2 linked regions of the Cricetulus griseus genome follow. The protein of the gene in region 2 binds, or shares a complex with, the protein of the main gene of each other region. Links are inferred from orthologs where the notes say so. Each region holds a gene or a part of one and is shown on either strand. Other genes may lie near its edges.

The links. The genes of interacting proteins can lie anywhere in the genome.
Region 1: Tprkb (region 2) and EKC/KEOPS complex subunit GON7-like share a complex: the UniProt entries of both Homo sapiens proteins name them as parts of the EKC/KEOPS complex. The link is inferred for Cricetulus griseus from reciprocal best matches to the Homo sapiens genes TPRKB and GON7.

What each region holds. Positions count from the first base shown.
Region 1 is NC_048598.1:103,312,456-103,316,746, reverse strand, and holds the start of EKC/KEOPS complex subunit GON7-like, read right to left. Parts: upstream 2,801-4,291; 5' UTR 2,739-2,800; coding exon 2,531-2,738; intron 1-2,530. Other genes in the region: putative E3 ubiquitin-protein ligase UBR7, read left to right, coding at 3,004-3,153. UniProt on the Homo sapiens protein: Component of the EKC/KEOPS complex that is required for the formation of a threonylcarbamoyl group on adenosine at position 37 (t(6)A37) in tRNAs that read codons beginning with adenine.
Region 2 is NC_048601.1:74,424,875-74,427,533, reverse strand, and holds the end of Tprkb (EKC/KEOPS complex subunit TPRKB), read right to left. Parts: coding exon 2,541-2,659; intron 1,204-2,540; coding exon 1,027-1,203; intron 591-1,026; coding exon 516-590; 3' UTR 501-515; downstream 1-500. UniProt on the Homo sapiens protein: Component of the EKC/KEOPS complex that is required for the formation of a threonylcarbamoyl group on adenosine at position 37 (t(6)A37) in tRNAs that read codons beginning with adenine.

The DNA of each region.
Region 1 (4,291 bases), on a different chromosome or scaffold from region 2:
GGTGGCGGTGCACACCTGCAGTCCCAGTACTTGGGAGGCAGAGACAGCTGGCTCTCTGATTCAAGGCCAGCCTGGTCTACAGAGTGAGTTCTAGGACAGCCAATGCTACTCAGGGAAACCCTGTCTTGATCCCCCCTAAAAAACAAACAAACAAACAAAAAAAGGGGGGGGGTAATGTATCTTTGCATACACTATGCTTCCTGGCTCTATTCCCTAACTCACTGCAGGGAGCAGGGAGCAGGGAGCACTAGGATTATGGGCACATGGCAGTACATGGGTTCTTGAAGCCAAACTCACAATCCCATGCTTGTGCAGCTCTACCCACTGAGCAATCTCCCCAGCCAAATACTTTATTCTACACAATGAATACTATTCAACAATTAAAAGAATGCTCATGTTTTACTCTGGTGATGGGCAGTTGTATTATTTTGATTTCACAGCTATTAATGAACAGTGCTACTACAATTATTGAGTTTTGGTATAAACATATTTCCAATTAACTTTGGAGAACTAGTGGTGTAACTGGGGTACTATAGTTTTTGCCTGCTTGCCCTTACTCTGACTAGCAAGTTCATCTATCTATTCCTGAGACACCTCTTTGCTGGTGTTATAACCTACTTTGCTGGGACTCCAGCACCAGATTAGGAATGCTGAGGCATCCAGTCTCAGAGACTGAACAATTACTGGATCCTTGGTGTTTCTGTAAGGAGAAAGCCACTGTTGGACTATTCAGACCACAGGCTGTAAGGGCACTCTAACAAAGATATTCTATCAATAGGTTTTGCTTCTTTAGAGAACCCTGACCAATGCACCTAGCTAATACTTTATTATTATTATTTTAAATTATTATTATTAAATAATAATATTATTATTATTTCAAGACAGGATTTCTCTATGTAACCCTAGCTGTCCTAGAACTCGTTCAGTAGAGCAGGCTAGCCTTTAACTCACAGCCTGCCTCTGCCTCCCGAATGCTGGGATTAAAGGTGTGCACCACAACCATCCCCAGATTTTACTTACTGTTCTTCTTAATGACAGTCAATAACCCTATTATAAAGAACAGTACAGTTTAATCTCCTCTGTAGAAGAACTGACTCCTTAGCTCAGAGTAATGAAATCTCTTTTGTGTTCAAGATTAAAAATAAAATTTAACAAAGGTCAGGTTTGGTGGTGCATGTCTTTAATTCCAGCACTGATGAGGCAGAGGCAGGCAGATCTCTGCGAATTCAAAGTCAACCTGGTCTAATCCAAGGCCAACCAGTGGTACCCTGTGACACTGTCTACAATTTTTTTTTTTCTTCTATTAACAGAGTTGGGGCTGGAGAGATCAGTGGTTAAGACCACTGCCTGCAGGGGTTCTGATGCCCTCTTCTGGCCTCGGAGCACACTGCATAGAGCAGTGGTGCACAGACACAAGTAAGCGGCAGGCAAAACATCCACCTTGTTAAAAAAAAAACCAAAACCCAAAAAACTAACAGTTTATTTCTACAACAGTAGAGGGGGTGAATGATAGTAGGGGCTAGAGGAAGGGAATGGCTGTGGTGAAACTTTCTTTTGACCATGACATGGCTCGGACACAGGGGCAACAACTGTGGTTACCTGAACGAGACGGCAACCTCAACAGGGGCTCATTGGGTCCCATCCCGCCCGGAGGAGTTTTTGACAGTTAATGGGTGCTGGGGGAGGAGCTGACGTTTTCTTCTGTGGTGTAGTCACCGCTGAGTTGCCCTTGCTCCAGTAAATAACCATCCACCCCTTCTCATACAAAGAACCTTAAACTCAGTGAGAGACAACAAAAAGGAAGGCAGAAAAGAAAGCGGCGTGTGTGTGTGTGTGTGTGTGTGTGTGTGTGTGTGTGTGTGTGTGTATGTGTGAGTGTGTGTGTGTGTGTGTGTGTGTGTGTCATCGGGAATGGTTCAAGCAGGGGACGAAAGAGAAGGAGAAAATGACCACAGCGCATTACATGCACGCATGAGACTATCGGTGACTTTAAAACACACACCCACACCCACACAGCAAAACCGAAACCCCCTTATACTTTCAAAAACAGACTCGAGAAAGGACCCTCTGAGGGTTAAGACTCCCCACGACACAGTCGGTCTCGACCTTCCGAAGCTGTGCCCGCTGTGCCAAACAGGTTTCTAATTTCACACCTGGGGAAGACTCCCCCCCACTGGCGCCACGGGCCGCCCCTTAGGTCTTCCTTCCAGCTAGCAGCGACTGCAGACCCCCAGCCCAGCCCACCCCCCACGCCCCCAGGCTCCACTCTGCGGGTCTCAGTCCTCCGCGCCCCGCAAGACGGGAGGCGTCGGGCTGACCCGGCTCCCTGTCCAGCCCCCAGGCAAACGCTCGCCACGCTCTTCTGGCTGAGGTGAAGGAAGAGTCGTGGAAAACGCGGGGCAGAGAGGGCCAACCGTTTTCAGATGCGAGCCTTCCTGCTCGCCCGCGCCGGCCGGCCGGCCAGACTCGCTGTGCCAAGGCTGCCAGCCCTTCCCTCACACAGCCGGAGACCCCGGCGCCCCGCGCTCACCCTCCTCGGCGTCCTCCGGATCTGCCGTCACGCCCTGCGCGTCCCGCTGCTCCACGAGGGGCCCGAAGAACTCGGCTACCAGCTCCCTCATCCGGGCCACACCCGCCGACAGGCTCTGGAGAGGGTCCGCGTCGCCCGACGCCTCACAGGACACTTGCAGCCGCCGGGGCTCGCCGTCACACCCGACGTACTCGCCCGTCAGCTCCATGGCGACCCCTTCGCTTCAACGGCGCGCCACAGAGAACCGCCACCCGGAAGCGGAAGCCACCCCGCGGGCCGGCGCGGGCGGGAGAGACGGGTAAAAGGCATGACTTCCGACTCCCGGCACCCGCCCCGCCCATTTTCTTCCATCTCCACCTTTACCATTGGCTGCCTGACGATCAGGCCCCGCCTCCTCGCGACGCCCCCCCCGCAGGCGGTCCCTTTTCCCGCCTCCGCCTGGGCCGCGCCGCGGAGCGCTGTGACAGTTGAGGATGGCCGGAGCGGAGAGCCCCGCCGGCTGCCCGGCGGAGCTGGAGCCCGTGGTGTCGCTGGTGGACGTGCTTGAGGAGGACGAGGAGCTGGAGAACGAGGCGTGCGCCGTCCTGGGCGCCAGCGACTCGGAGAAGTGCTCCTACTCGCAGGTGCGCGCGGCCCGCTGCACCCGCCGTTCTGCTGCTTCCCGCCCGCGGCGGCGGCGGCGGCGGCGGCGGCCGCCCCGGCTCCAGGGCTGCCCTTCACCCCGGGCTTCCACAGCCCCGGCCGGCCCTGCGGCCCTTTGATCCTCAGCTTGTCGCCAGCAGGGCTCTCCCTCCGCCCTGCCCGAGGCTCTCTGCAGGCTCCGGTCCCCGAGCAGCAGCAGCAGCAGCAGCAGGAGCAGCTCTGCCCTCCTCGTTGTCGCCTCTTGGTGGCCTGCTTTCCACGAGCTCGTCCTCGTGACTTCTCAAACCACCCCGATATTCTTCGCCCCACTCCTTCCACTCTTAAAGAAGCTTAATTGGGCACCAGGTGGGGGGGGGAGGGTGAGCAGAGCTAAAGGGAAGTGGGCTGGATTTGAAAAATGTGCCCGTGCAGTCTAGTTTAACTGCTAGCTGGTTTCTTTCTTTCTTTTTTCCTTCCCGGTAAAGTTCCGAGTGTATGTGTTGTGTGACAGACACCCCTTCTCCCTCCGGAGTAGATCGGAACCAAAACATCATGTGACCCTGGAAAGCCGAGAGAGGAGGAAAGGATCTGCTTGGCGCCTGTGCGACCTTGTAAACAAGAGTTGTTTGAGGGCCGGTGATGTAGGGTTTAGTGACGCATCCCGTACATCTAAGTACAAAAGTGGAGAAGGGTGGGTAGGAAGGCACCAACAGGATGAGAATTGGTGGAAGGAAGCAAGCTAGCTATGCCCGTGGGTGGAGTGGAAGACTGGGGAAGGAGGGAAAGAACTTGGAGTTACTGTGTGGTGTGGACTAAAGTCATAATGCTATTTGTCTTCGTTAACCAACTTGGGTTTGCACTGCAAAATTGTTGGGTTGTGGAATTAAATCTTGTATCCCAGAAATAGTCGCAGATGGTCACTGGCATTTAAATCAAAGGATCACCACTAAGACACACCCCACTTCCTTGGAAGGAGGAAAGAAAGGCTCCAAGCCTCTGTGTGAGCTGTTTCTTAACACCATTATCTTTATAAAATGTATTAACTAAGCATTTTTGTTGTTGGAGATAGGGTCTTATGTAAATCATACTTGCCCTGAATTCCTGATTCTCCTTCACTTGACAAGTACTGCTGGGATTGCA
Region 2 (2,659 bases):
TGTCTTTAAGAAGTGAAAACAAAATAGGGCTAGTAGTGGTTTCTTTTTCCCATTTTCAGTGATATGTTAATTTTATAACCAGGAAAAAAACAGCTGGTGATTAACTCAGATTTTTCTGTTGATGTTTTGGGCATCTTATAAAACATCCTTTGTTGACATCCTACAAATGATACCATCCAATAATGTCCCGATACTCTCTTCTTGTGATGACAGTTTATATATCTGTAAAAGTGAATGACAATCTATGAGTGCTGGCAAGTCCATACACGGTTATTACATATACATTACCACGTGGCATTACCATTTTATTATGGCATTAATGGTTTCATTCACAATGTTTAAAGTGTTCAAAGCAGGTGGTTATTTGCCACACATGTCAAATATCCTTTTTAAGTGTAAGTATTAATATAAAAAAACAAATTTCTTGAACACACAAATCCCATTTGTATCAGTTTTGAGTACACATGTAGATATCAACTCACACAGTCACTGAATGTTGAAAGAGATCCCTTTTCTTACAGTTCTGTGACTCTATTCCAAATTACATTCCACAAACTTGTAGGTCCCAGTTCTTTTCTTTTATGAAGTATCTGCAAAATTATTTTAATATTTCTAAACCTCTCTTGATTTTACTTGTAAGGGTGTTTGGCCTCTATATATGTGTACTATGTGTGTGCAGTTCCAACGAAGGCCAGGAGCAGGCATCGGATTCCCTGGAACTGGAATTACAGATGGTTATGAACGGACTTGGAATCAGACCCAGGTCCTCTGGAATAACTGCTGACTCTTAACTGCTATGTCAACTCTCCAGGCCCATACTATTACTTAAAAGTTCAAAGGATATTGGGAATATGAGAGGAGGCAGATATGAGTAAAAGCAGTAATAGGATTTGTGAAAAGGTAATGAAACCATTATCTTGTATGCTAACTAAAGTTAATGGAATAGTTCAAAATTTTTAACAGTGATGAACAAAAAGCATCAGTATAATTCAACTACTGAACTCTTAAAAAACGTGTATTACAAACCTTTTTGACTTCTGAGAGCTTTGTTATTTCTGGAAGACATTCCAAAGGAACCTGTTGGCCTTCCACTTGAGATACTAGGTGTTCTTGGTTTATTTGTTTCTCTCCCTCTTCAGTGTAAACAATGAGAACTGAAGTGGCACTTTCCGAGATACCAAATTTCTTCAAAGCCTCTGAAATCTATGATTAAAAAAAAAAAAAAAGGCAAATGAGTCAGTGTCTTCTGTCTGGAATACTTCTGACCTGCTCGTCAGCCTCCCTGTTTCTCAGAGCATACTTTCCCCTTCTACAATCCCTTTCCAGCAACTGCTATCACACTTGTCTCTTCTGTCCCTAGAACTTCGTCTTGATCAGGAATGGTGTCTTCAATTATTTCCAATGGTTCTATTAATGGGGGATTCTGTTGCCATGCTGACTGCATTTTATAAACTTTGCAACCAAGTGTGATTTAATTCTTGCCATATGGTTCCAAATCTTCCCTTTGATATTAGTACCTGGCTGTTACTAATAGCAGCAGTAATACTGGGACCTCATCAGCTGAGGTCAGGCATCTTTTTCCATGTCACACACAGAATGTCATCACCTCAACAACTCCCATTTAATAAGCACTCCTGGGATGGGGAGATGGCTCAGTGGGTAAAGCAGTTGTCAAGCCAGTGTGAGGATCTTGGTTCAAATCCCTAGCCCATGAAAAGTCAGGTACAACAGCAATGGTCTATAACCCCAGTGCTGGTACAGCAAGATAGGAGGTGGAGACAGAAGAATCCAAGAAGCTTGAAGCCCAGGTGTACCCAGTGGTGAAAAACAAAGAGACTTTGTCTGGAAAAGGTAGAAGGCAAGGACCATCTGAGGTTGTCCTTTAGACCTTCACAATCATGTTGTAATACTCAGGCCCCCACACTCCCACACATGAATCTGTGTACCACAACCACATATACACACACATACAACACACACATACACACACACACACACACACACACACACACACACACACACACACACATTCAAGCACACACCCAAACCTGGGAGGTGGGGGGGGGGGTTTGCATTCCTATGAAGGTTTCAAACCATGAATTTTTCTATGCCCTGGGTGTGTGAGTGAGCAGGCATCAACTGCTCTACCAGGTCACAGAAAGTTCCAGGTACTGACTATAAAAAAAAGACACACAGCCCATCTCTAGGAGTTTACAGGGAGACTGACACAAAATGTATCTATACCTCATGTTTTATAGTGTGGGTTTCTTCCAGTTTCTTAAGCAAAATTGCTCAGGGGTCTACTTAACATAATATGGGCATTGCAGATAATACCATCCTCAAGTATTTTAACCTTTGACCAGGAAACTGACTCCACAGCTACTTGCAGTACTAAATGGCTGTCTAGACCTCTCTATGAAACTATTTTGGCTTAGTACTAACAGCTGGCTTGGAGGAACCCGGCCCCCACTGCTACACAGGGGGGAGGGCACATTCTACAATGACAAGACCAACAGAAATAAAGTCAGTCACCACATTACATTGTTATTTGGGGAGAGGTTGAAGATAATTTCAGTAGACAGAGTCCTTGTCTTCATTTTTCCCAGTTTGTGGAGATGAACAGCTTTGTTTGCTGCCACAAGTATCTGAAATGGATCGA